Linked DNA regions of Alligator mississippiensis. The protein of the gene in region 3 interacts with the protein of the main gene of each other region in a pairwise test. Links are inferred from orthologs where the notes say so. Each region holds a gene or a part of one and is shown on either strand. Other genes may lie near its edges. The genes, in order: PLLP, MALL and membrane-spanning 4-domains subfamily A member 15-like.

The links.
Region 1: the proteins of membrane-spanning 4-domains subfamily A member 15-like (region 3) and PLLP interact in binary tests that used the Homo sapiens proteins (3 or more experiments, as listed by UniProt). The two-hybrid records come from large-scale screens. The link is inferred for Alligator mississippiensis from reciprocal best matches to the Homo sapiens genes MS4A12 and PLLP.
Region 2: the proteins of membrane-spanning 4-domains subfamily A member 15-like (region 3) and MALL interact in binary tests that used the Homo sapiens proteins (3 or more experiments, as listed by UniProt). The two-hybrid records come from large-scale screens. The link is inferred for Alligator mississippiensis from reciprocal best matches to the Homo sapiens genes MS4A12 and MALL.

Annotation. Positions count from the first base shown.
Region 1 is NC_081833.1:37,287,947-37,297,750, reverse strand, and holds the start of PLLP (plasmolipin), read left to right. Parts: upstream 1-5,588; 5' UTR 5,589-5,640; coding exon 5,641-5,778; intron 5,779-9,804. UniProt on the Homo sapiens protein: Main component of the myelin sheath that plays an important role in myelin membrane biogenesis and myelination. Plays an essential function in apical endocytosis. Regulates epithelial development through the regulation of apical endocytosis.
Region 2 is NC_081824.1:237,893,986-237,903,647, reverse strand, and holds the start of MALL (MAL-like protein), read right to left. Parts: upstream 4,500-9,662; 5' UTR 2,379-4,499; coding exon 2,271-2,378; intron 1-2,270. Other genes in the region: NPHP1 (nephrocystin-1), read right to left, coding at 8,851-9,129.
Region 3 is NC_081825.1:176,800,836-176,811,166, reverse strand, and holds the start of membrane-spanning 4-domains subfamily A member 15-like, read right to left. Parts: upstream 3,962-10,331; 5' UTR 3,798-3,961; coding exon 3,708-3,797; intron 1,958-3,707; coding exon 1,838-1,957; intron 1,006-1,837; coding exon 949-1,005; intron 1-948. UniProt on the Homo sapiens protein: May be involved in signal transduction as a component of a multimeric receptor complex.

The DNA.
Region 1 (9,804 bases), on a different chromosome or scaffold from region 3:
GGATGCAGGCTCAGGTTCAACACCAGCCCTGGCCGGGGCCCTCTGAATGCACCGGCTCCAGCAGCAGAGGTTCTAGGACTGCACTCACCGGCTGGACCGCCTGGTCATGGTGGCCAAGGTGCACCTGGCAGACACGCGGGCTCAGCGATTGGAGGATGTCACCCACAAGGACACACAGGACCAGTGCAAGGAAGAGAGGGACCAGTGGAGGGATCAGGCAGACCAGGAGTTCGGGGAGAGTCTCCTGGCCCTGGAGGAATGGCATGCTGAGGCCTTAGAACAACAGGCTTCTCCTAGTGGCCAGGCAGTAGAGACCACAGAGGACCACGGAGTACTGGACACCATCCTGGCCCTGGTGGTTGCCTTTGTGCCACCCACTGCTCTGTTCCCAGCTGCAGCCACCTGCCACCCAGCAGCAGACCCCCTGTGGGCCTAGATAGAAGTGCAGTCCTGCCTCCACCAGCCAGGAGCACGTACCCCAGCCCCTGCCACAGATCCCCCACCACCCATCTGGGCTCAGCCCCAATACTCATCCTATCTCCATGCAGTGGTGGAGCAGGAGCTGCCCAGAGCAGGACCAGAACCAAGCACAGGCCCTGCTGGCCCTGGCCAGTGGCTGCAGGAGGAAGAGCCACACATACCAGGTGAGCAGCACCTGCCATCACCCCTGGGTGAGCCCCCTGCCTCTTGGCTTTGCTGCAGCATACACACCCACAGGGGAGCAGCTGGAGACTGGAGTGCTGGGCACCTGTCCCCATGCTCTGCCCCCACCCCACAGCCTCCCCACCCCAGGAGGGCATACACATACCACTTGTAAAATGGGGAAGAGTATGGGGAAGTCTGCTTTATTGGTGGTGGGTAGGATGGGTGGTAGAGGGACTCTGTGGGGGATGGATGGACAGAGTCTGTTGCTGGGGAGGGAGGGAAGAGGGGGGGCCTGTGTTTGTGGAGGGGAATAAACTGCTTTTTGGAGACCTGTCTTCAGTGACTGTGGGGCTGGGAGTAGACGGTGGGTGGGGGTCCGTGGGCAGCCTGGCCAGTGCTGATGGGTGTGGCTCGATCAGGCTGTGGCAGGGACAGCCTGCCACTGTTGCCACCACCGCAGCTGATGCTCCTGGTCCCAGGAGTCCTCTGCCCACTGTGCCTCCTCCACCCAAACCTTGCAAAACAGCTCCCCCCAGGCCTCACAGGTGTTATGCAGCACACAGGCTGCAATGATTTGGGGGGGGGGGGGGGGGGTTGGCCTCAGCAACCTTGAGGCAGGGAAGGAGGGTGCACTAGTGTCCCTTCAGCTGGCCAGAGGTGCACTCCACAAGGGCATGGGTCCGTCCCAGGCACCTGTTGAAGTGTACCTGGCGGGGATCCCACTGGCTGGTGTAGGGCTCCATGAAGCAGGAGAGGAGTCCCTGGTGAGGAGGGGTGGGACCACCACTGCACCCAGCTGGAGGTCTGGCACCCCTGGTGCAAAGCACCCACTCTACACCAGGACTGGCAGGGCGTAGTTGTGGAAGATGCGGGCATCATGGGTACTGCCGGCCCAGCTGGCACTCACATGCATGAAGGCACCATGGTGGTTCACAATGGCTTGGAGCACAACAGAGTAGAAGTCCCGCTGGCTGTAGTAAGGGTGGTTGCCATGGGGCAGGCAGGTGTCAGGGATGTGAGTCCCATCCAGGGCCCGATGCATTGGGGGAAGTCCAGGGCACAGAACCTCACTACCACCACCAGGGGGTTGTGCACCTGGAGCACGGTGTGCCCTAGCATGTCCTGGAGGCCTTGCCCACCCCACAGAGGTGGCCAACTTAGTGGAGGCTGGTGGGCATGGCCAGCTTCAGTAAGTGATGGCCTGCTGTGTGTCTGCAGGGAGGGGCCGCCACATGGCAGTGCCCTGCTGCTCCAGATGCAGGCGGAGCTAGTCCAGGAAGTCTTGGAAGGTGGCCCAGGTCATCCAGAACGCCTCCAGCCACTGCTCATTGTCCCAGGTGGTTTGGACAATGTGCAGCCACCAGTCCTGGCTGGCCGGGCAGGCCCAGAGGTGGTGGGGCTGTAGGCCCAAGAAGGTATGGACAGCCCCAGTGGTGGCATCTAGGAGCACATCATCGGTGTCCCTGCCAGGGACTGGGAAGCAGGATGGGTTCCAGGTGGCAGCTGCGTGGTGGTGGGGGCCTAGAACAGTGGGGTGAGGCTGGCCAGGTGGGTGCTGCACACAGGGAAGCCAGCAGGGCTATAGCAACATGGTGGCGCCATCACAGTTTTTGCCAATGGATGCTATGGTGCTACTGCATTTTGTGTAGACGTGTCCAGTGTTTATTATTACTCACCTTCTGAGATCTCAAGTACAATAGTGACAATAGGGAGCTTTATGAAATGGCCCTTTGTATACAAGTTACAGAATGGCAGCAGGGCAGAGCTTTGTTTGTTCTCAAGGACTTGGTTTTAAAGAGGTGGCTTGACTGGAAGGTTTACATTTTCTAACTCAGAACTGAAGAAGCCTCCAGGTGCAATAGATTGGTTGGGAAGGAGGCTGGTGAGGTAGAGATTGCTGCAGCACTACCACATGGCCCTTTTCTCACTCCCCTTGTGACTCAAAGGTTTCTGCTGAGCAGGTCCTTATCCTAGCGTGTTTGTCATATGGTTACTATTTAAACTTTCATTTCCTCTATGACTCTCCATGGCTGAATTCAGTGAGAGTTTCCCCTGAGTGAGGACTGCAGGATCTATGTCTCCAGGAGTACAGGGACCCTGTCAAAAGTGTGATTTCCTAAACAAGGATCTAGGTACTTTATCTGGGCATCCTGACCCCTTCTCCCCGCTTTTCCCTCACCTTCCCCACTGACAAAAACAATTGAAAAGGGGGAGAAGGGGACTAGTTATACCTTCAACCTACTAACTTTTCTCTGTGAGTCTGCAGGACCTTTACCCCCCTGCACCAGTGACACTGCTATAAGCTGCAAAAAATGACTGCAGAAATGACGAATAATGGTATCTAGCATGCAGATACTTTACTGATGTAGCTAGAGCTAGATAGATGGACAGACAGACAGATGGACTAACAGACACGCAGGGTAAACTGACAGATTAATTTCCCACTCAAAGAGGAATGCAAATAACGGTGAACTAGCCAGTAGTGACCAGTTATCAGGAACTGATCAGCATCACCCAGGAAAGTTAGAAAACTGGCAAGTTAAACCATATTAGCAAATGATTCTATTGTCAGTTTTACTCTATAAGCAATTCAAATGTCTTATGAAAACAACACAAAAAGCTGTAACATCCTTGCCTTACAATTGCTCTTACCCTCCAGCCTTCCATTGGGCCAGCTCTTCAGCTGCTGTAGGCTGGGCTAACTACTAATTTCAACAGAGCTACATTGATTTCCACCAGCTGAGGATCCATTTCAAGCACTTGTGTGGGGGTGAAACAAACAGCATGAGCTGCAACTTTGTCTCAATGCTTTGCAGCACTTTGGGAACACTGCAATGTGGCAAAGGAGCAAGGACCGAAACCTGAACTCTACGCACCAGGTAACTTTGCAGCAGTCAGTTTTTTGCCCAGTGCTTCCACTGCAAGTAACATTAGCAAGATGCTAATTTGGAACAAATATTTCCACATTTTCTGTCCATCCTGACATGAACCGTGTCAAGCCTGATCCTGCTCTGCTTGAAATAAATCTGTGATTTGACATTTACTTGAGTGGTAGTACAAAATCAGCTTTGAAATAATACTAGTACCTCCTCAATATAACCAGAGCTATGGTTTCACATCCCAGTGCTCATGGGAACACCCTTGGAACTGCACATTTTAAAAGTATCTCAGAAACAGAAAGCAACACAATTTCTTTTTCCCAGATCTGCACTTGTGAGTTTCTTTGGCAGTGCTCATCTCCATCACATAGTACTTAGACACTGGTTGTCAACCTTTTTAGAGTCAAGGTACCCCTCAGAAAATGTCAGTTCTTAGTTTTCATTCAGCTTTTGACTACAGAAAAATAATAGAGCAATCCTTCTGTGGCAAAGACCTCAAAAGCACCACAGCAATTCAGAATGGCTGTGAGACTGTAGATTCCTATTTGAAATCTCTGGGATCACCTTGTGTATCATGTTTGCGCACCTAACAGTGCCAACATTGTGTGACGCCCTGTGGCAACCCGGATAAGAAATCTAAACATGCAGGATGTAATAGAGAAGCAGGGCTGGAAGGGACCTACAGAGGTCATCTAGTCCAACCCCCCTGCCTGAGGTAGGATCATCTCTATCCAAACCATCCTATACAAACCCATAATCTAACCTCTTAGTAAAACTATGGTCAGTCCTGACACAATGTAAGGTGTTGTGGCACCCTGGTTGAGAATCATTGGTTTAGGCATTATATCAAACCAGAAAAAGGTCTGACAAACCCTGCCTGGCTTTCCAGCTTTAGGGTGAGAGCCTTCTGACTTACAGGGCTGTGCCTGCGATCAGAAGCAGAGCCAGGACCCCAGAAACCTGGCATTTCCTATGGACCAGAATGGGAAAGTTTCTCAGCAGAAGAGTCTGTAACTATTCTAAGGGGTCAAGTGGCCCTCACTGTGCTGTTCCCACAATATCTGCTCCACCTGTCAATTGCACCAACCACAGGGATGAAGATCTCAGTCCTGCTGGAAGCCAAGGACAGATCTCCCAGGCAGACAGATTGCAGCAAGGGGTCCTGATTCCTCACAGTATCTTGCCCCCTCTCAGGCAAATCGAAGGGATGAACTCGTGCCTTTAAAAATCCCTTCCGAGAGCAGGGATCAGAAGGAAATAGCCTTAATGCTTTGCTGCCTTTGAATGAGGCTTGGACATACAGAGAAACAGCCTGGCCTGGTTGCCAGACAGACCTGAGTTGGATCAGGGTCTGACTAAGGGAAAGATGGACTGGGAGGCAGGGGGAAGCTAGTATCTAGCTACTGGATGCTTAGATGGACACTACTGAGCCTAGGTACCAGAGGCTAGGAAGAGCAATAATTTCAGTGTGGTACTGCTACACAGATGTGGCACAGTGGTTTCCGTGTCAGGCTTAAATGACAGTTAACTTGAATGAGCCACGATGGCTCGAAGACAGCATGTTAACCTGGAGCTGGTCCTTCTGTCGGGCCTGGGCTTTGCAGCAAGCGAGGCTGCTCTCATGCCGATCAAGCTGCCGATCAAGCCGATCTGGTTTGTAGCCAGACAGAGCAAGAGCGGGATCGGGATCGGCATCGGGCCGCTCGGTTGGGATGTGGCTGCTGCCTGGCCGGAAGGACAGAGGAAAAGTGGGAGGTCGGGATCAGACTGACTGGTATCTAGGTACTGGAGGGTTAGATAGATCCCGGCCTGGCTCTGGCTGCTGGAGGGACAGAGCCGGGGAGGCAGGGGCAGACAGACGACACCCTGGGATGTAGCTACGGGAGGGTCAGGCAGACAGACGGACGGAGCCGAGGTAGCCGGAGGGAGGCAGGGCACAGCCGGGGGCCAGAGCCGAGCGGAGCTCAGCCGGAGTCGAGCGGGGCGGGGCGGGGCGGGGCGGGGTCACACGGACCCACAGCGGGCCGCTCCCCGCCGCCCCAGCTCCCGCCCCCGGCGCCGCCCCGAGGCACCACGGAGAGAGCCCCAGCGCAGCGCAGCACAGCCCGGCCGCCGCATGGCCGAGTTCCCCGGCCGCGTGAGCACGCGGACCAGCACACCGGCCAGCGGCGGCGAGGGGCTACCCGGCCTCCGCCTCGCCGCCGACGGCGCCTTCCTGCGCTCCGCGCCCGGGCTCCTCATGCTGCTGCAAACGGTGAGTGCGGCGCCGGCACCTGCCCGGCGGGACCCGCGCCCCGAGCTCCCCCGCCGGCCGCGCCCGGGGCTGGGAGCGGGGCCGGGGCAAGGCGCGCCCCCCCGCCCAGCGCCCGCCCGGGCTCCCACGGGGCAGCTCGCCTCGCCTCGCCTCGCCTCGCCCCGCTCGCACGGGCCGGAGGGGCAGATGGGCAGAGCCCAGCCTGGGCATCAGATACAGCGAGAGCTAGACACGGAACTGGATGGATGGACAGACAAGGGGGCTGATAGACTGGCATCTTCCCCCCCCCCGACAAGCTGATATCTGTCCCTCCCCAGACTGGCATCTGCCCCCATCCCCCCCCCCAATTGACAGCTGTCCCTCCCCAGACAGACTGGCATCTGATGCCCCTCCCCCCTACTGACATCTGCCCCTCTGACAGACGGGCATCTGCCCCCTGCCCCAGACCAGTTGCATGAAAAGAGGTATTTGATTTAGGGTGAGCAAGGACAAACTGCCATGTCTCAGTCATGGTAACTTCAGAGTCGAGTCCTTGAGCCACAGATCCACCCACAGACATCACAGGTCTGTCCGCATTCCTCTCTTTTTCCTTCCTCTGCTTTCTTTTCTCTACTTTGGAGGCAGGGCACTTTACCTCAAAACAGGCTGCGACTTGGGTGAGGTCACAGCACCATTGGGGTCAGTCAGCAGCCAGCTCCTCCCAGCTCTTGATGTTGGTTTTCCTGAGGTCTGGCTGCCTTCAGTGTGTCCTTCTAGTTTTTCCTCTGCCCCCTGTAAGATCTCAGGCCATGACTTAGCTGGGAGTAGAGCACTTGTTTCAGGAGTCCAGTGTCAGGCAGCTGCACACAATGTCCCATCCACTGATGTTGCTTGAGGATCACCAACTCCATGCTGGTAATGTTGGCTTCAGTGAGAAGGCTGGCATCTGTGCCCTGATATTTCCATTTGACGTGGAGGATTTTCCAGAGGCATCATTGGTGATTGGGGGTTGGTTGGTAATGGGGTGGTAATGTAGTGGGCATTTTTGCAAAGGTTGAATAAATGGGATGTGTTGCCTGTTGTGTAATTGATGGAAGAAACACTCTATAAAAGTAAGAGTGGCCTGGTTCTGGTGCTACATCAGCATGATTCAGGAATAACTCCTTTGAAACCAGTGGAGTTTCACTGTTGTGAAACTGTTAGTGAGCATCTACCTACACCGGCATACTCAGGGAAATTAATTTAGGTTAACTAAAGGTGTGAATTTAAAGTGCCAAAATTAAACTGCCTTACAACACTTGGAATTGAAAAGGAGTCAAATTAAGGCCTCTTAATTCTGAATAAAAAGTGTCCACACAAGGGATTGCATGTGATTTAACTAAGTTACTTTACAAGTTAATTCAGATAAACTTTTCTGAGCTTTCCCTGCAGACAATTCCAGGTATAAAAGAATGTAAGACCATGGACTCACAAATGGCAAAGCTCAAGGCATAAACCAAGAGCAAATCACATTGTAACAGTTGCAGGTCTCATCCTGAGTTGTGCCAACAGCAGGAGAGTGGTACCCTGGCTGCCGCCTTCCAGTGCGAAGTGGCTTGAAACTACAGTAAAGTAGGTTTAGGTGGATATCAGAAAAGGCTTCACTGTTGAGGCAGTGGAACAGGCTGCCTGGGGAAGTGGTGGGATCTCTTTCTCTGGAGGCTTTTAAAGAAGAGGCTAGGTAAATATTGGCCAGAGATGATCTAGGACAGTAGTTTTCAACCTGTGGTCCATAGACCCCTGGGGGTCCACAGACTATGTCTAAGGGGTCTGTGAAAGATAACTATGATCAATCAAATACTTGTTTTAGGGCTCTGCAAATGAAAAAAGGTTGAAAACCTACCTAGAGCTAGCTGTGAAGAGCAACAACTGGAAGCCCTGGAGACAGCACATGTATTGGAGGACCATGCTTAGCAGGTGAATGAGGCAGAGCAGCACAATTGGCTTGATTATAAAACAATATTAAAGAGCTGGGACAAGTTTATGTAGGGGATGGGATGACAAAAGGATGAGCTCTGGTTCTACAGTTTGGATGTATGATAGGTGGAGATGTGTTTGTGGTCCCCAGGCTGCAGTGCAGCCTGGAAAGCATTCCATTTTTCCTGTGTCTGGGCTTTGCTGGTTGCCACATGGGGTCAGGAAGGAATGTTTGCCCTTCCTGTTGCTACAGAGGTGAGGGTTTTTTTTTCCCCCTACCTTCCTCAAAAACACCAGGTATTGGCTGTAGCCAAAGCTAGGATTTTGTGTGGGAATGCTCCTGATGGGATTTTAAAAAACCTTGGGCTCCTAGTTAAAGGGTCTTGCTCCTCTGCTGAGCTCTTCTGTTGTGAGGTTCCGATCTAGAAAAACCTTTCCATGTTCTTAGAAATGGCTGCTATCGCATTTCAGTTTTACAGGCTGTTTTATGCTGGTGTGGGCCAACCTTTTTGGCAGGCAAGCCCTGCACCCTTTCCAAGTGCCACTCCAATCCCCTTCCCCTGTGCAGTCTGATGCTCTGCTTTCTGCTCCCTGACCTGTGCTACCTGCCCAATCTCCTGCTCTGCTTTCTTTTCCATGCCCTGTCACTTGGCTGCCTGTCCCACCCCCACATCTGCCACATACCACACACAAAGGCTGCCTGAGCCACTTGTGAAATCCATGCCAAACATTGGCCACCTATTTTACGCTAACACAACAGCATCACTAGCCAGCAACGTATGTAGAAAATTAAATAAAAAAGCTCATTTATGAACTTCTAAACAAGCAAGTACAAACTGACTCAGGCAAGAGGTGCTGCCTGTCATCTGCTGTTGTACATGGGCAAGTCCCACAACATAGTTTGCTGCTGTAAACAGGAAACAATTATTACTGGTAAAGACTGAATGGTTCAGTTTGGCTTTTTTGCCACCCCTTTCTTCTCCCTGAGGCAAGCAGTTATCTACTTTACTTCCCATTAAAGCCATCCCAGCCCAGCCCATGGATTTACTTTGCATGGGGGTGCCTTTATTTTGTTCTACTTCTCTTTATAGAAGTGATGTTTATTATCTTTCTCCATCTCATGAAATCTGGGTCTGCTTTGGACCTTGAAGTTACCAGCACTGCAGAACTATTTGGTTATAATACCTACCATAGCAAGCTGCAGCTACTCCTCAAACTGGGTTTTACCTGTTAAATTCAAGCAGTCCCCAGAGATAGTGTCTTGTTGTTCACAGTAAACTCTGGCATCCAAGCTTATTTGACTGGCTCAGGGTTTTACAAGTCTCCTCACAACTCCATGTAGCAGCCCTAGTGCCAGTCAGTGCATTCCCTCCAGGCATCAGCAGCTGTGGTTCTCTTGGCAGAGCCGACCAGCTGTCCCACCATCTCCTCCTTGCTCATTTGTTCTTGCTCCACTTGTTTTCATGGTTACTGAGATGAAGTCTCAGCTTCCCAACAGTTTCTTGGAGGTCATATCCAGAGCCTTTTTGCAGTCTTGGGAGACCCCAGTAAATCCTATCCTGTTCCTGGTACCCAAGGTAGGTGGCTATAGCAACTAACCCATGCCTGCAAGCCTGGATAACAGCAACTTATGCTTCACAAGGTGACCTCCCAGTACAAGTGCTGTGTTACGTTCTTTGCATTTCCAACATGGTGTGTGTTTTGGTGAGGGCAGAGAAGAGGGGAAAGCTTATCTGAGCCTCCTGTGGGAGCAGGAGTACTGTGTGACCCAGTCCCTGAATGCCTTTTGGTGAATGGCATGAGCACATGGATGAAGAGTGTTGGTGGGTGTTGGTACATATAGGCTGGATCACTTTTCAGGTAGTCCCAACCTTGGAGGACATGTTGCTGCCAAAAGAAGCAAAAGTGCCTTTTCACAAAGGCAAAAGAAAGCCCCGATATATTTTGATGCTGCTTATCAGGGTGATGCCTCTATGTGTCCTGCAGCAGTGGAAGGGAACAGCTGCACATTTGGGAATGGGGGACCAGCCAGTCACTCCTAGCAAAGTTAGAGCTGGACTAGAGCTTTTTCTGCATCTCAAGTTCCAGTTT
Region 2 (9,662 bases), on a different chromosome or scaffold from region 3:
CAAAGAAATTTTCATAATTAACATGTGAGGCTTATGAAGCAGAGAAGACAGATGAGATCCCTCAAGCAGGGGAGATTCTAACTCTGAAATTGCTCTCAAATTATCTGGTATAGTAAAAGTCATAGTTTTAAATGTAGACAGCCAGCACTGCTGGACTTTACTTGAAGTGTTGCACCAGAAACACCATGCCAAGGATAAAGCTTCTCTGAATGAGAGTATGGTGTGTTACTAGAAGGCAGGTGCGGAGGATTCACTGACTGTCAGTATTGTAGACATGTACGTCCCACTATCTGTCATAGAGGATCAGAACTTGGCCCAATTTAGGCAGGTTTTCATGGTAATAGCAATGTTCCTCACAACAGTGGAATCACCAGGCTAAACTTCAAGATGCTGCTTTAAAACAAGCATGCTAGAGATTCTCAACAGAACAGTGGCACCCATTCATAGCACAGACCAAACAAAATATTTTCCCCTAACCCTTTTCTAGAAAAGAGCAGAATTCTTTCAGCTAAAATATTAAAAAATACAGGCTGATGCAAGCAATGGAAATTTCAGCCCAAATGGCTTGACAAAGTTAAGAAACTGAAAATAGGGTCTTACAACAGAGCGCAACAGGCTACTTCAACTCTCAACATTAATATTAGCTTGCCCTGCAATATCATATTTAATATTGAACGCATGTGAAACAGTGGTATTATGAAGTTTTCCTACATTGGAATGGATATACATTGAGAGCCCAAAAGGAAGTACCAGGATGTGCCTGCATGGGCTCCTCTTGTACATAAAGAATAAAAACAATAATAATGTTATGGGGGCTGCTGTTTAAGCTCAAATACATTAGTTCAGTTCCACTGGGTCAATTCAGATCTCACACCTGTTTAAACTGTGAAAACAACACAGAACTACATGGGTGTTATAACAGTTTGAAGCTTTTGCAAGAGAAGAATTCAGCTCACTGACTTCAGCTGAGTGACTGTCACAGCAATGAGAGAGAGAGCAGGCACTCTGCGATTACATAGAAAGAATGCACCATAGAAAGAATGGGTGCTGGAACTCAGGTGTTCTCAAGAGAGCATACATTTCTAAATAAGCATAAAAATATATCATGTGAAGTTCAAAAGCTTCAGAGGCAACACCTTTTTTGTTTGCAAAATAATTGGCAAAACACACTGCTTGTTTACTGATACCTTAAAACACGTCATTGAAAAAGGTGAGGCAATCTAGGGAAAAGTCTTAGAGTTGTTTTGGGCTGTAACCACCTTCATATTTCAGATAAATAGACAGTGGTTTTAAATTCTTATCAACTCAGATCTTATAAAATACTTCTAAAAGTATGGACACAGTCCCTGTTCTATATTGAAGGTCTACAACACAACCTTTCCTGAGAGGAAGCCACAAAAGCCCTGAGCCTTTTCTGGGGAGGGCAGCATATAAATCTAATAAAGAAATAAAATAAAGAAATAAGTATTCAAAAAAAGATTTAACATGATCAAATGAAACGTATTTTGGGATTTACATGCTATTTAATCAGTATCATATTCTTGGCACTATAATTCAGCATGAAACCCATTAAAATGGTGACGTGATAAAGACTAAACAGTAGTTTGTACTGGGGATGGCAGTTTATGCAGAACTGCTGGATTGGTGAATACGATGTTGTAATTATCAAATAAGCCAGATAAATAAATGCATATGTAGGTTTGGATGGGTGGTGCAGATACAGTGTGACAGAGGTAATGACTGTGAACAGACTTTAACTACTGTATTGTATATCAAAGTACAACATCAATTGCCTTAAGCTCAGTAATCACACTGGAATGCATTACAGGACTCTGTACTTAGGAGTATCAAAAAAACTAAGACCTCTGGCATATTACAAAAGCTGACTGTCTGTTTACAATCTTTGATCCTTAAGGAAGTTTTCATACAAAAGAGAGAAAATACAGTTCTTCAGAAGAAAATGGTTAACAAAGCTTAATTTTTTAATAACTGACAATAAATAATTAAAAGAAAGCTTGTGCAGCATAAAAGAACAAAAAGCTTTGTTTTTTAGTGCCTTATAAGGCCTTATATAGGTTTCTGTATCATTCTGTACAATTTTTGACCGAATCAAAATCAAAGAGTGACTTTACAATTTAAATGCAACTTGCAAGAGAAAGTAATTACATCCCAAATCTCTTTATCATGATGTCCTTTTGGGCCAACTCCATCTTTATGAACAATTTGATATAGCCTTTAAAACAAATCAAAACCAAGTTCAGTGTACTTACTAGCTCTGGTAGGATAAAAGCATATGGTATTGTTTTAAACACAGCTGATCCGGAGGGTATGACAGGTTCTGGTTGGGTGGCAGGTGGTGGGAGAGAGCTTTGTGCCATTTCTTCTTCTCTGCGTAAATTGCTACAGTTTCAGCTCCGCTACACTTGGATTTATCTGTGCAATCCCACTGATATGCAAAGCTTAAAAGAGTAACCACTGACACACCCATATGGACGTAATCAGTAAAACCAGTCCCAGCCTGGCAGGTCTCTCCACTCATTACAACTAGAAGAATCATCAGCTACTCCCTGGCTAAATATCATGCCATAAAGGGCTCAAGCAGATCAAGAGCCATTTTTGAAAAATGAATGAAAACTTGGGTGTGTGCACACATATTGCAATATTTTTGTGCCAGAGCCATAGGAGCTCCCTTGCAAACTGGACTTGTCATGGTAGCATTTAACTAATACCCAAAACAAAACAAAACAAAACAAAACAAAACAAAACAAAACAAAACAAGAGATTCAACAGACCCTGATAAAAGAGCAATCAAAATTAGAGAAGAAAAAACCCTATCAGGAAACCCAACCCATCCCTGTGCCAGGGCAGGGACATACCCTACTGTAGTGTATGCTCAGTGACACCAACTCTACTGCGGGCTTTGGGCCTTCCCATTGAGAGAGCTTCACCCTGATCTGCTGCCTTGTGCCATCCTAAATAATTCTGTTCCTTTGGTGTTTACAACCCATATACATGCAGGCTGTTAGCTAACTCCCTATATAACATCCTTACCAAACTCTCCACACCTTAGATATTGCTTAACTCATATATATATATAGAGAGAGAGAGAGAGAGAGATTGTAGAGTCGGAAGGGACCACAATGGATTATCGTGTCTGATTCCCTGTCCCTGGCAGGAAAGAGGACCGAGGTCAGATGACCCCAGCCAGGTGACTATCTAGCCTCCTCTTGAAGTCCTCCAAGCTAGGTGATAGCACCACCTCTCTTGGAAGCCCATTCCAGATCCTGGCCACCCTTACTGTGAAAAGTTTCTTCCTAATATCTAACCTAAATCCACTCTCAACTAGTTTACACCCATTATTCCTAGTCACTCCCTGGGGTGCCTTAGTAAACAGCACATCCCCTATTCCCCGTTGACCCCCCCTAATAAATTTATAGGTGGCCACAAGATCTCCCCTCAGCCGTCTCTTGTGAAGGCTGTAGAGATTCAGCTTTCTCAACCTCCCCCCGTAGGGTCTATCACGAAGGCCACTAATCATGCGAGTGGCCCTCCTCTGGACCCTCTCGAGATTCCCCTCTTGAAGTGTGGCACCCAAAACTGGACACAGTACTCTAACTGCAGCCTGACCAGTGCCGCATAGAGGGGGAGCATCACCTCCTTTGTTCTATTAGTCATGCACCTGCTAATGCACGACAAGGTGCGATTGGCCTTGCTGATGGCCTCGTTACACTGCTGGCTCATGTTCATCTTGGAGTCAATTATGACTTCAAGATCCCTCTCTGCCTCCGAGCTGATGAGAAGGACACCCCCAACCTATAGGTGTGTTGGGGGTTCCTCCTCCCAGTATATTATATTACCAACACAAGAACTATGTTAGGAGAATGTTATTAAGGTTGCAAGATCAGGCAAATGCCAGAACTAAAGCTGCTTGAGCAAAATATTTTTGATCATCTTTTTATTCTATAGGACTCCTGCATCATTCTGCAAACAGAAGGGATGTGCTCTGGGAAACAATCCATGCAGGGCAATAAAGAAGTCTGTTATCTGCAGGACCCCTACTGCATTCATTATAGAAGCTGGGAGGTGTGCAGTGAAAGAGGCAGGGGATGGCAGGAAGAAAGAAGACAGTCTTCCAGCTGATGCAGCTTCATGCTGCCCTGGAGAATGAGTTTCTGTCCCTGTCTCTCTCTGCCAGTGTGAAACTGATAGTTTCTTGATAGTTGCTTAAACTACACTTTTAGAGGTAGCCAATAATTGTGCATTTCTCATTTCCAGATGCAAACGCAAGTGAATGTGTGAAGTGCTGAAGATGATGTGTTGGGGATGATAAAAAGGTGGGCTGCTGAGGGTAACTGAGTGCCAGCAAATGCAGAGGGTATATGAGCATGGGGCTTTCCAGTGAAAGTGGATGATGTGGGGTGCTGGGGCAAATAACAGGAGTTGGTAAAGATGTGGGATGTTGATGCAATGGCATAAGCATATGGAGTTGAGGGAGAAACTTCAGGGTGTCTGAGGCAGTCCCACCATTCTGCCCCATCCCTGTTCAGGCTCTGCCCACACTATCCTGCATTTCCAATCTCCACCATACCCCTTTCTGCCCTCACCCTGCCCCCTTGTCTTCCCCTCTCTACTGCCTTCCCCCCAGTCTGGGGGATGTGTGCTGGCCTGGTGCCAGTCAGGGAGAAGAGGCAGGCAATCTGCCAGTCAGCCTGAAGCCAAGTGCCACCTCAACCCCAGGTTGCCTGGGAAAGAACCACAGGTCCTATCTATGTCGCAGCTGAATGCATGGGAAGCCAGGGATGGACATGGACAGTTCAAGACTGTTCATAACCATCTTTTTGGGGGGAAACAGTCATTTAACACTATCTTTAATAAGGCATTCCCCAAAAGAGACCACACAGTTAAAGGGAAAGAAATACGAAAATATGTGCAAATAAAAGGTTTACTCGGCTTTTGTAACTAGCAGTAGTTTAGCTGTTTCCCTCTGCCCATGTTTGATAATCATCCTTCGTGATGGTTTCCTTTACAATTAAATTAAGTCTACCATAGCTGACCACCAAACCTCCGAAGACAACTAAAGGCTTTTCGCCATGTGTCAATTAAATCTAAGAACAAAACTTCCTACTGTTCTGACAGTACAAACAGTAGAATAAACTGCCCAGGGAAAGTATGAAATTTCCTTCGTTGGAAGGGATTGGACTGGACATCCAGGTACCAAAATAAAACCCGGGCAAAAAAAGTGGGGCAGGGCACAGTCCCGGATCATGCCCTGAGGCAACCGGAGACTTGGGTCCTCCACAGAAATGCTCTGGTAGTCAGCCACAGTGTCTCTATGGCTGGCCCTTGCCCCTGCTCAGGGCAAGCAGCATGCAGGCTGCAGGGACCCAGGCTTCCTTCCAAGTAAGTAGGGGTTGAGTGGGGTGGGGGAGGGAGTGGGGCGGAGGTGACCCTAACCCTAACCCAGTCTCCCCGCTCACCTCATGGCACAGCTGTCCCGCAGGTCAGTGTGGGGCAACAGGGCTCAGTCCCAGCTGCCTGGCACATGTGCTGCCGCTGCTGCATCACACGGATACAACTCGGCTCGGCTCAGCAAAGCGCCATGGCTCAGGCTCTGGGTGACAGCTCCAGCAATCCTGAGCTGTCAGAGAGTGTGCGGCACCGTGCGGTGCCCTACCGAGCCGGGCTGCACTTGTGCAATGTGGCAGTGGCAGTGCGGGTGCCAAGCGACTGGGGCTGAGAACCACTGCCCTCCGCTGCCCCACACTGCGCAGGGGGGCTGTGCCATGAGGCCCTGAGTGGCCCTGACAGCCGCTGCTACTACTGGTGAGTGTGGGGATGCTGGGGCTGGGTGCGGGGGTGAGAGGGGGCTGGGACCAGCCAAGGGAGCGAGCTGGGGGATGGGGGAGTGAGCAGGGGGCCGGAGAAGTAAGCAGGGGGGAAGGAGTGAGCAGGGAGTTGGGGCTGGGTGAGGCAGCAAGTGGGGGTGGGCTGGGGGCACGTGGGCCCTGCAGAGGGGCTGTAGCCCCATGTGAAGGAGCTGTGGCCATGTGGGGGGAACGGGGGGGGGGGGACTGCACCTTGTGGGGGGGGTAGGGGACCCACTCCTTCTGAGCAGCCCTCCTTATACATCTGCCCACACCCACAGCCCCCCCACAATCTACCCCTTAACCCCACACCACCCCCACAAACCCCTCACCCACATACCTGGCCCTGTGGGGCAGGAGTGAGGGGAATGGAGTGGGGGTAGGCTGTAGGTTGAGAGTCAGGGGCAAGGGCAGGGCACTGGCATATCAACACTGTTCAGTGCTGCACATCTTGGTGAGTGAAGGGGGTAGGGGCAGCTCTGATTTGTCTATGACAAAAAAGCCAAAAGTCAATGCAAAACTGTATAGATATTTAGCATTTATTTTATTATGATGATAGAGGCACTGGCAGGCTTCCAAATTGCTTTAAAATTGTAAATATATCAATAAAACATTACCCAACTCATTTGATCTCTCTCTCTCTCTCTGTATATATCTATATATCTATATATATATATACACACACACACACACATATGATATATCTAGTGGTCTTTTGTTTTAATTGTGGGAGAACATGGATTTTGGGATATTTTAGAGTGACTTTGGGATTTTTTTTTATCAGGGATTTTGCAGGATTTAAATAGGGAAGACCAGAATTCTTGCTAGTGAGGCAAGTGGCAGGACTCAGGCAGAGGAGCCTGCTCAGAACTGGCACCTAGGACCCAGCTGGAGGTGGTTGACCTCCTGGCCACTTGGGATCAGGAGGACATGCTTTGACAGTTCAAAGCAGGCCATTACGCTGAGAATATCTTCCAGGAAATAGCTGCCCAGATGACCAGGTGGTGGCACACATGGCAGTAGTGCTGCACAAAGGCCAACTGTGCAACCACAGTCTGCTGGCAGCTGGCCCAGAGGTGCAGATGTCTCTATTGGCCATGCAGTCCTCATCCAGGTCTGGCAGGGCCACAGCCTTGGAGCTACTTGCTGTCAAAGGTGGCAGCAGGTCACAGCCAGGCAGCAGTCCCCACTGCCAGACTGCTGCAGTGGGTAGAGGGTGCAGGGAACTCTCATGGCTGTTTCAGCAGTCCAGCTGGCACAAGGGGTAGTGTCCTCAGGTACCAATTGGCTGGGCCCCAGAAGCTCCTGAGAGCGAGTGGCCCTGAACTGCTCACCAGGGCAGCTTTTTATATTGCTGGGGCCAACACAGGTGCTGGCCCCAGCTTCTAGCTCCTCCTGGATGTAGATCCAGGAGCCAAGCAGGGTTAGTTTGTTCCAAGTGGCACAATTTGCCCCACACCAAAGTGTGTTTCTGGGCACATGTACTGAGGCAAAAAGCCCCAGTTCAAACTTGCGCCACTTCTATTTGAGCTGCTGCAAGTGCATGTGCCTGCATGTGTGGATGCACCCAATGAATCCTAAGTGACTCTATGAGGAAGTTAGTATGCAGTAAGATCAGATGTGAATTTACAGCACGTATGTGGAATAGATGGTGCACTGTAAGTTCACTCTAGCTTATTCTGCTTATTGTAACGATGTTAAGCAGTTAGGGCTTGCGTATAATGAAAACTGAACTTCCTCCTAATCTTTTTAAGCACCTTCTTCTAATGTAACAACCCCACCCTCTCTATACATCCTAAGTAAAAACATTTAAAATTGTCTCAGTACAAGAGTATCCCACTGCTCATTAACTAGGGATGTGCAAATATTTATTTCTATTCATAATATATCTTGCTAAACTAGTTTTCTTACAACTCATTGCTATTTTCTTTGTTTAATAATTACTTATCCACTAGGGTGTTATGACTAAGGCTATGATTTTGGCACAATTCTTTTTAATAAATGTCATAGAAGAGGTGTGGAAAATGCAGTATTCAAGGAAAAGTGCCAAAGCATGCTTGCTACATGTTGACAACAGTGAAACAGTACCTTACCAGAGCTCATTTCTCTATCTGGACCACTGCCTCATAGGAGTTGTAGTTTGGAGGGCTATTGCCCCCATTCTTTCAGCCAACATCTGTGGCTGAATTACACCTTCCATGATCCTGTGTGCTCTTCCCTTCCATAGAATGCCAGGGTCCTCCTGATTCTGAGTTTCTATGTTATGGTTTCCAAACCTCCATGGCTGCTGTGACAAAAATGTAGTCTTAGTTATGACTGGTGGCCTGTGTTAAATAACCATCTAACTAGTATGGACTGGAGAAGTAAATACAGGTACTCCTCACTTAACGTCATCCCAGTTAAGGTTGTTTCGTTATTACATCACTGATATATTAGAGAACATACATGTTTAAAGTCACGTAATGTTTGGTTATGGCTGTTTGGCACCGCCTGCTAGTAGGTAACTCTTGTGACGTAATTGGATTTGCTTAACACCATTTTGCTTAAAGTTGCAATTTTCAAGAACGTAACTATGATGTTAAGTGAGGAATAGTTGTACAGCTCTTCTAAATCAACTAAAGAAGATACTGTTACATCCATTTTAAGAGTTTGCTGAGCTCTATGGTCAGTACAACAAAGTATTCACCTTCATAAGCCAATAAGAGTAGTAGATAGATGTCACTGATAACTGTACCCATGTTTAAAAATACAGATCAGAAGCTTTTTAAAAAACAATCAACCATGTAGTTAAATAGATAAAACACTTTATTCTAATCTATTGGTATATGCTTTGTAAAAAAAGTCATTATATGTCCAGATAATCTAATACAATTTACTTACAAAATATGCTTTGTATAAACTATAAAACCCTTTTATTTTGATTAGATAGGTCATTCCTTTAATATATTTTGCATATGCCACACTCTATTACTGTCTTAATATCCATTCATGCTGATACACTACTTTTCCTTGCCTCTCCTAGAAAATCATATGCTACCTCTGAAATATCAAAAACTTTGTGAACAGTTTCTGAGGACAGCAGAGAGTAGAGCGCACCATCATTTTCGCGGGTCTGCTTCAAAAAGTCAGCAATCACTTTCCAGCGAGAGGCTTCTGACTCTTCATCTGCCCATTTATGTTTTGGGAGGAAAGTAGACTGGAGAAGAGGGAAGACAGAGTCATGGTACACCAGGGTAAATACGGTCTTCAAAAATTCTTGATCTCTCTAGAAATAAGAATATAAAAGCGGTCAGTACTCCATGCTTGAAGGCATTTCTACAGAAGACTGTATATTCCAAGCAAAACAGTAATCCTATGGACTACTATCCCCAGTGTTAAAACAAGAGGCGGGAATATTTGAACGCTCATGGCGCACGGGCCAAGTCTCGGAGGACTGGAAAAGGGCCAATGTGGTCCCCATTTTCAAGAAGGGGAGGAAGGAGGACCCGGGCAACTATAGGCCAGTCAGTCTCACCTCCATCCTTGGCAAAGTCTTTGAAAAAATTATCAAGGTTCACATTTGCGAGAGCCTGGCAGGACAAATTATGCTGAGGGGAAACCAGCACGGGTTCGTAGCAGGCAGATAGTGCCTGACTAATCTAGTCTCTTTTTATGACCAGGTTACGAAATGCCTGGACACAGGAGTAGGGATGGATGTCATGTACTTAGACTTCAGGAAGGCCTTTGATACAGTATCCCACCCCATACTGGTGAACAAGTTAAGAGGCTGTGACTTGGATGACTACACAGTCCGGTGGG
Region 3 (10,331 bases):
TGATGCATCTGATACCAGCCTTTGTCAGAGACAGGATACAGGGCTAGAAGGATCTTAAAGATAATCCATTCTGTACATGAATGTCGTTTTTTCTAGTTTGGAGGCCTTTGGGTGCCTGTCACTCTAGACCATATTAGGCTGGTACATGGTTGGTTATTGCGCTTCACATAGCTGAGACTGAGAGATGGGATTAGTGGATGGAGGCTACAAATCCTGTAGTCTGCAGAGAACTCATTGGCACTGGCCATCTCCCAACATTACAATATTACAGGGATAATTTACAGGGATAGCAACATCTCTGTCTTGTCATCCTGCACCTGTAGTGGTGAATAAAATCACTACACTAGATCTGTGCAACTATTGTGGCTCACTGAGAGTTCCAAAAGGTAAAAAAAGAAAGCAAACAAACAAAAAACATTTTGGTGAATTAAAAAGTAGAAAACATTTTGTTCTGGGGGATCAAAACATTTTGTTTAAGCCACAACACTCCAAGTGTTCTCTTTTTTTTATCATTTTAAAAGTAATATTGAAAGAAAATCCAAAATGAAAGTCACTTTGGATTTTAAAAAATAGTTGAAATCCTTCTTTTAGAAAATATTAAAAAGAAACTGTTTGGAATTTTTATTTTGCCCCCAGCTTGAACAATGTGGCAAACAGACACATCTATAAATGCTTCAGTCTCGCTGAGTCCCCATGTTTTCATTGCATAAAATTCTGGCTGAAATTTGGCCAATGCACTGAAGAGGAATTTCCTGTTGCACCAACAGTGGCTTCATGTGAACCCTTGCCCTGCCCTGAAGAGATCCCACCCAGGCATCCCTCAGCTCTGTCCTGGGAACAAGATTGAAATTCAGCCCCCTGTCCCTTTAGTCCTGCATGCACAAGATTTCTGATTTGAGCCTGGTCAGAGGAGAATTAAACTCAGGCCAAAGATCCTTTAGGACTCACCGCACACTCGGTAGGGCTTTTTTCAGCTCCAATTGAGAGGCATCCAGAAATGATGAACTGAGTGGCAAAGAGGAAACAATCAGTGCATTAACTTGTGACTGTCTTTCATTTCATGGATCAGCTCAGTTTCCCTTTTTGAGGACCCATCTCCAGTGTCTGTGATGGAAATCAGGGAGAGGGGGAGACTGGAATCTTCCTCCCTGCTGGTCTGAATCCTTTGGGCAGCGCAGGAGACAGAGATCCCGTCCACCCAAAAGCAGTGACCTCTCTGGATGCCCAAAACCAGGAGCTTCCCTGCCGTGTGGCTGAGGGGTAGGATTAATCTGGATCAGGGCATTAAGCATCCATCACGCAGGGCTTGTCTACACTAGAGGAGCATCTGCTGAGGCTGCCGTGCCCCCTTGTGGAGACACAGAACATGCCAACAGAAGGAACTTTCCTGCCAGTGTACCTCTGTACCACCTCTGCCAATGTAGACTGAGCTGATGGAAATGTTTTTGTCAGTATAGCCACATCTGTACCAGGGATCTTTCTGGCAAACTAAATTGCCTATGGGGTGCTATCTTTTTGATGAGGCAATGCTAGCAAAATGTTACTGTGTACACATGATTAAGTTCTTTAAGGCAGGGCATCTTTTTGTGCTGGGGTGGGACAGTACCAAGGACCAGAGGGACTTGATCTGTGACCTTGGTTCCCATCATACAGCTAATAATCCATGTGCTCCATTAGCATCCCAGTCCTCTGCATATGCATCTAAGAGACAAACCCCAACCAGAGATGGGATGCTGATGGGAAGCTCAGGGGGAGGCAGGTGGAGAGGGCAGGGCACGAGATGGCCAGGGGAAACCAGTCCAACTCAGATTCATTCAGCTCCATTCATGCTACTCACAGACACTCCTCCCAAGAATGGGATCTCGCCAACCACAAAGAGAGAGCTGTAGACGTTTGTGAGGGTTGTCAGGACGATCCCGAAGCCGATGTGCATGAAGCCAGTCATGATCTGGATGGTCTGAGAGAATAATTGCAGCAATAATGTGCATTATATTCACCCCTGGCCACACCTTACTGGCTCTGAAAAGGATGCAAGGGGCATGGGCATGGGCAGACTTTGAAGTCGACCTGCATGGTCAAAGCAATGTCAGTGTAGCGCATGCAAGAGGAGAATAGGTATGTCTATGTTGCATCTCTGGTGCTGTCAGGGGGGGGATGTTCCTAACTCTTCTCCACCCACTTACTGACATTCATGTGCACTAAGCCCAGAAAAAGGGCCATTCTGGGAGCATCACTCTGGCTGGTCTCAAGCCCTCTGTTTCCAGAGTGCTTGGGACACAGTACCAGCATCCGCAAGGAGTCTCTTTATGAAGCTGTTGCAGCTTGCACTGGAGATAGTGCGTCCTTTAGCTCAAGTGGTAGAGGTGCACGTCTAACTCTGAAGATCCAAGGCTCAAGCCTGAACATGTGTTGGTAGCACAAATATTAGCCAAGGAAAGCTGGCTAAGTGACTACCCTGTTTGGTGGGAAGAGGATATTGAGGCAGAGCAGCAAGCTGACTTGCTGCAGCCCTATCACGTGTGAGTTAGAGCTCAGCAGTGTTTGACTCATGGCCCCATCCTTTCCAGGCCTATAGCCAGGGCCCAACAGCAAGGACTGGATGATCACTGTGTAATGAGTTCTGATCTCTTCAGTGGTCTCTGGAAGAGCCTCACCAAAGGCCCCTTGAATGGACTTGTGCAAAGATTTCTCCTTCTGCTGCAGCCTGACCTTGCTTTCCATTTCACGCCCATTTATCCCAGCATTAATCCCTGTGAGCTACACACAGTGTCCTCAACCAGTGAAAATCTCTAAGAAAGGTTTTCCCCTTACATGCTGCACCAGTGCTATAGCTTGGACCAAGGCTATACCTAAATCCCCAACTCCTATCAGCTTAGCAAACCTGCAGGCGCTCAGCATTACCTGGCTGGGTGCAGGCTGCAGACCTCTGGAGCTCCCAGGGAGAAGAGGAAGATTACAACAGGACCAGGGCCTTGGTTGTACACAAGGCTCCCAGCCTCTGCCATCCCCCTCTGAATGTGGGAGCAGGGCAGAAGCTGGAACCCAAAACAGAGCCAAGACACCTGCTGAGGTACAAGGGGACCCTCATCCTGTCTGGCTGGCTAGTTAGATGCCCTATCTCCCTGAGCCCTTCCCCAACCCCATGTTCACTTGGTGGATGGGGTGGGAGAGATGAGAACTAGCTCTTTGGATGTTAACCACACCCCTTAAGTGCACACAGACCCCCATCCCTAATTACTTGTTTTGTCAGTAGTGTGAGAGGCACAGGCTGGAAGAGATGCCAGCACCGGTCTCTGCTACCCAAGCCCTTGCCTCCTCACTTGCTTTGCAAGCCAGAGAATCAGGATGTCAGAGATCCACCTGCACACACACAGGCTGATGGTCACGGGCACTTGAGGGCGAGGAGCTCATGGAGGGTCTCAGCAGAACCCCTGCCACCCAAGGCAATAAGCTTGGTTGGGGGGAGGAGGGCGAGGGGAAGCACAAGGGTAGCCCAGGAGATTTCAGGCTAGAATGGAGCAATATGATCCTCTGATACTGAGGTCCTGCACAGCACAGCACAGCACAGAGGGGAAGATTTGTCCCTTTTCCCTGGCTTTTGGAGGCACCTATAGGAGCCAATTCAGGATGAGTCATTCTCCCTACTCCCCATTCCCTATGTAGCCCCCTCCACACAATGTCCCAGCTCCTGGCTCTGCCGTACTCACCCCCATCACTCTGTTCTTCCCCTTGGGAACCGTCTCCACAGTGTACATTATGGCACGTCTGCCCAGCCGCATCGTCCCCCCTTCTTGCATGGGATCAGCTGGGGTGATGAATTGCCAGCCTGCAGGGTCCTGGGCGGCTGGGCTCTACGCTGCATCAGCCCCCATCCCCTGAGCCTGGACCACAAGACTGACAGGGCTGCTCAGCATCAGAGCAGTGAGAAGGGAAGGAGGCGGGACAATGCCATTGGCTGCTGCAGAGAATGATGTCAGAGTCAGAGATGCTGCAAGACACAGACAGGAGGGAAAGACATGTCTGTGTGTGTGTGTGTGTGTGTGTGTGTGTGTGTGTGGGTGGGTGGGTGGGTGGGTGGTGGGCTGAAGGGGGGCGGTGGGGAATCATTCCTTGGTCCTCACTACAGTCCCTTGATTGCACTTGAGAACTGCTTTCTTAGCAGCTGAGAAGAGGCAGCTCCAGGGGATGGGGGTGGGGGTGAATGAGCTGCACAGAGCCCCTACCCATTTTTTGGCTGCTGCCAGGCAAGCCAATCCAACCCAATTCAGCCCAATTAGATGTAATCATCCTGACAGCTGCACAAGTGCACACACTCCGGGAGCTGTAAGAACACTTTGTGATTGCGGGGAGGAGAAGGAATGCCACCGTCTCCATGATGGGGGGTATGTCACGATTGAAGACTCGTGAGGTTGTAGGAACCAGATTTACTGGGTCAGCTGGATCCCCAGGCTGCAAAAAAAAAGTGAAAACCTCTTTTGGTAGGAGTAGCAGCAAGGGGTTGGGGGAGAGGGGAGCAGGGAATTAATTTCATTTTGATCCCCATGTATGATTTTATTCACAGGGGATAATTACTCTGCAAACCTCCCTGCTATAGAAGGTCTGAGGTCCAGAACTTCACCCCATTTGTAAAAGGACAGAGCAGTTATATGGACAATCAGTATTTTCAGTGTTGCTGTCATTGAGGACAGTACATTCTAGCAGGGATATTCAACTCCTTACTTCCAGGCTGAAGCTGATCTCTTACAACTGGACTCCAAAATGAGACCAACATTAGGAAACAGATTATCCTACAACTGCTACTGTGCGTTTCTTATCCCTTCCTCCAAAGATGACTATTGTGATAAAAAGGATACTGGCCTAGGTGGACCTTAAGAGGTAATCCACCACGGCAATGCTGCCCTTTCTGTGTCTGCACTAGAATTTAAATATGGGCTACCTGGTGCCTATTTAGAAGCACAACTTCCTTCCTACTGAAGCCATAGAGGGTACCTTATCTAGGAGCAACTGAACCTCTACTCCCATTTTATTCCTGTTCCAGATTTAAAATTATAATTAATAAGTGATCTCAGGTTGCCCATATCTGAAAATTTATTTGAGAATTCATCACTGTTCCAGTCAGTTGAAGGCCTAAATCCAGGTGAGATCTCAGGGCAGAGCTGGGGGAAGAGCGTGGGACTGGTAGACCGACAGGATCTTTGGTGAACTAGGTTTTCAGCATCAAATGTTTCCTCTTGGCTCTGTATTTCCAGCTGTTGGCTGGAGAGGGAAGCAGTGAGAGACACAATGGCAGTACCACTTGTTCCTAACCCAGCATTCACCAGGTAATAGCAGTCCCCTTGAGATTTCCTCATAAAAGATACAGTGCTCAGATCTTGAGCCCTTTGTTCTAATTTTAAAACTGGCTATGATCAGAGCAATGTGAAGTCTAATTATTAACAATCTCCTTTCCTAAACCTTCCCCATAGCTTCACCTCTCTGAATTTAGAGCCTATTTTATGGCACTCACTGATGAAAATTCTCCAGCCCTGGAACAGTAGCAGCAATCAATAGAGCTTATGACCCTTGTCATGGACAGACAGCTGGTGTAATACCTCATGATGCATCACCATTCTCGTCCTCAGCATGCTTATCCCAACCAATATTCATCCACAGGGTGCTCTTCGCCTGAAAAGTCATGAGTTATCATAAAGGACATGGGTTATTGTTATATGGTATATCTGAAAAAATGAGACCTACTTAACCATTGCCAGAGATGAGTATTTATGGCCATTGATGGGAAAGGACAATAGACCATGGGGAGTACATGAATTAGCTGTGTGTCACAAAATTGGTACACTGAGAAAAAACACTCTTTTTAAAATGATACTAATTATTATCTGGCCACTGTTCATCTTTTCACTCCCTCCCCAACTATTTCCTATGGTTGCAGCCAAAAACCACAGGTACAGTTAGCACAGTGTGACTGCACATTGTGAAGAGAAGTCAAGCTGCCCTAGAGCCTGGGTGTCTGTTAGATCTGGGTGTCTGGCACTCTGGGGTGAGATCCCTGTGAGCACGTCTACGTGTGCACCAATAAATTCTAAAGCTTATTGCTCAAAGGTTTTTGGCTCCAGAGTACACTGTTTGAATGGGTACCCAGGAGCAAAATCTCCAGAGCAAATTGCTCTGAAATGTATTTGTATGCACCACATGGAGCCCAGTCAGGACAGTCCAGCTGGCAGGGGACTCATGAGGTCAGCCTGCCAGTTCAGGGATGCTCTGACCTGGCTCTATGTGCTGCAGGGGTGGGGGCTGGCATGCAACCCCTGGGCTGAGGCACACTGTGCCCCAGCCAGCCCTAGAGTGGCACATGAAGATGGGGGAGCAGGTGAGCCTGCCATCCCAGGGCTGCTCTGACCCAGCTCTAGGCTACAGAGAGGCTGGCTGAAATGCAGGGTGCCTCAGCGCAGGGCTGCCTGCTGGCTAGCCATTCGTTGAGCCTCTGTTCCTCAGCCAGCTGAGGCAGTGTCTACACGTGTGCTGCTGCACATGAAAAAACTCCACAACAGGGTAGTACTTATTTTACAAAATTACCTTGCTGCACAGCTCATTAGTTTCATGCACTCTAGTAGGGGCACACGTGTAGACGCTGATATGTTTACTGTTCAATTAATTGGTCAACTGCACAGTAAATGTTTCAGGTAGCTGCATCCGTTATGACAGGGGTGAGCAAAATGTGGCCCAGGGGCTGGGTGTGGCCCACCAGGCCATACTATCCAGCCCATGGGGCCCCTAAAAAATTTAGAAAATTAATATTAATCTGTCCTGGGCTGCCTGTTATGAGGCCCTCGATGGCTTGCCAAAACTCAGTAAGCGGCCCTCTGCCCAAAATAATTGCCTGCCCCTGCGTTATGATATTCCAGGGCATGGTTTTCAAGGACCTGGTTACACGGAGACTCCTTTAGCATGAAGTCAGGAAAGAATGTTTCTCTCAGAATCTCCACAGGCCAGGGGGGCATCTTGTTCATAGATTCATAGAGTTATAGATGTAGGGTCAGAAGGGACCTAAGTAGATCATCAAGTCCGACCCCCTGCCCTGGGCAGGAGAGAATACTGGGCTCATATGACCCCAGCGAGGTAACTATCCAGCCTCCTCTTAAAGACCCCCAAGGTAGGAGCTAGCACCATTTCCCTTGGAAGCTGGTTCCAGATCCTAGCTGCCCTGACTGTGAAGTAGTGCCTTCTAATGTCCAGTCTGAATCTACTCTTATGAATCTATGGCTTATGGCCGTTATTCCTTGTTACTCTGGGAGGTGCATGGGTTTCTCCCATTCTCCAGTGGTACCCCTTGGTACGTTTGTAGATGGCCACCAGATCCCCTCTCAGCCTTCTCTTGTAGAGGCTGAACAGGTTCAGGTCCCATAGCCTCTCCTCATAGGGTCTGCCCTGCTGTCCCCGGATCATGAGAGTGGCCCTCCTCTGGACCCTCTTGATGCTGGCCACATCCCTCCTAAAGTGCGTCGCCCAGAACTGGATGCAGTACTCCAACTGTGGCCTGACCAGTGTCGCATAGAGGGAGAGGATCACCTCCTTGGCCCTGCTTGTGATGCATCTGTGGATGCATGACAAGGTGCGGTTGGCCTTACTGACCGCATCCTCACATTGGCGGCCCATGTTCGTTTTGGAATCAATAATGACTCCAAGATCTCTTTCTGCCACTGTGCTTTTGAGAAGGGAGTTCCCCGGCCTATAGGTATACTGCTGGTTCTTACTGCCCAAGTGCAGGACCTTACACTTGTCAGTACTGAATCCCATCCTATTCTCATTCACCCACCCCTGTAACCTGTCCAGGTCCAGCTGCATCCTGTCCCTCCCTTCTAGCGTGCCCACCTAGCCCCAGATCTTGGTGTTGTCAGCGAATTTGAACAGTGTGCTTTTCACCCCCTCATCCAAGTCGCTAATAAAGAGATTAAACAGTGCGGGCCCAAGGACCGAGCCCTGGGGGACCCCACCGCCCACATCCCTCTAGGTTGAATATGACCCATCCACTACTACTCCCTGGGTGCAGTCCCTCAGCCAGTTTGCGACCCATCTGACTGTGTAGACATCAATGCCACAGTCACCTAGCTTTTTAATGAGAATGGGATGGGAGACAATGTCAAAGGCCTTCCTGAAGTCCAGAAAGACTACGTTCACCGCGACACCTGCATCCAATGATTTTGTGACCTGATCATAGAAGGCAATCTGGTTGGTCTGACAGGACCTGCCTCTAATGAACCCATGCTGGTTGCCCCAAGCATAGTCCCTCCAGCCGGTCCTTCCCAGATGTGCTGGATAATATTCTCAAAGAGCTTCCCCAGGACCAAAGTAAGACTAACGGGCCTATAGTTGCCCAGGTCCTCCCTCCTCCCTTTTTTGAAAATGGGGACCACATTGGCCCTCTTCCAGTCATCTGGCATCTGGCCAAAGCACCACGAGTGCTCGTAAAGCCATGTCAGAGGTCCTTCAATAACCCCTGCCAATTCCCTCAACACCCTGGGGTGAAGAGCATCTGGACCTGCTGATTTGAACACATCTAGCCCCTCCAGAAGTTCCCTAACTCGGTCCTCCCCAACCCTAGGCCTGTCAGAGTCATGCCTGAGTCCATCCTGAATCTCAGTGGGGGAGTCCTGGTCCCTGCACAAAAAAATGGAGGCAAAGAAATTGTTTAAAAGGTCTGCCTTTTCCTCTGGTGTAACCACCAGATTGCCTAGCGTATCCTTCAGGGGCCCCACATTACCCGGTGCTTTCTTCATACTCCCTACGTATTTAAAAAAGGACTTTTTGTTGTCCTTGATCCTTGATGCTAGCCCTAGTTCCATATCTGCCTTAGCTTTCCTAACAGCCCCCCTACAAGCCCGAGCGATGGAGGTATTCTCCTCTTTGGTGATAGCCCTTCTCTTCCACTGGGTGTACGCCTCTTTTTTGGCTTTCCTGAATGCCTTTGGTGAGCCAGGGGGCTTTTGAGCACTCTTGCCCACTTTGATTCTCATTGGGACTGTCACCTCTTGGGCACGGAGGATCATCTCCTTAAGGAATGACCACTCATCTCAGACACCCAGTTCCCCAATTCTCCAGGACCCCAGTGCCTCTCCTACCAAACTCCTCAACTCGTTGAAGTTGGCCCTCTTGAAGTCAAGGGCTACTGCCTTATTTCAGGCCCTTGACACCCTGCACTGGATGGTGAATTCCAGTAGGCGGTGATAGCTGTCACCCAGGTGGTCAAGAACCTGGAGTCCCCTCACCAGGTCATTGCCAGTGACCAGGACCAGGTCCAGCAGGGCTTTCCCCCTGGTGGGACTGTGCACCTCCTGGGTTAGGTGGAGGTCCTGTATCTCAGCAAGGACTTTCGTGAGTGGTCCAACGTGGCTGACTGCTCCTCCCAGCAGATGTCCGGGTAGTTTAGATCATCCATGACGACTACATCCTTTGCCTTAAGTGCCTCCGCAAGCTGGCCCGAGAATTCATGGTCCAGCTCTTCCCCTTGGTTGGGTGGTCTATAGTAGACCCCCACTGTTAAGTCCCTTTCCACATGACCCCACTGTATTCTGACCCAGAGCACTTCAGCCTGCCCCTCCTCTGACCCCATTCTGTTAGTTGAGGACATGTATTGCTCTTTGACATAGAGCACCACACCCCCAACTTTCCTCCCTGTTCTAACCCGCCTGTATAGTCTGTAGCCCCTAATGTTTACTGCCCAGTCATGGGATGAATCCCACCAGGTTTCTGTGAGCCCTACTATGTCTGTGTTTGTACTAGCTATCCAGAGGGCAAGTTCCTCCTGCTTATTTCCCATGCTACAAGCATTAGTGTAGAGGCATTGTATTGGTACGTCTTTTTTTTTCACCTGCAATTGAGAAGGATCCAGAAGTGACGAGCTGTCCAGAAGGGAGAAATAGATCTTTGTGGGGTTTTTTTGCCTTACATCTTTCACCCAAGATAAAAGAATAATCCTCTAGCAGTTGCATCTCTGTACCCACCCTTCCATTCATTGCAGTGAGGCTCTGCACCCACATTCAACCTTCATATAATATAAGAGTTTCTAGGATATAGCCATCCAAAAAAGAACAGTTTTTCATATTTTAGCCTTCTTCTTATCCTTTTTGGCCACCAAAGAGGGAGGAGAGAATCTTTCAATAGTGTTCATAGAAAATTTCCTTCACTCACATGGCCTTTTTGAGATCTAGAAGCAGATTCAAACTGAGGGCATGGACAGGCAATGTAAATTATACCTGGTATAGTTTTATAATTTACATCCCTTTTACATACCAATATATAAAACTGGAGCTATCCTGGTATAACTCACACAGTTA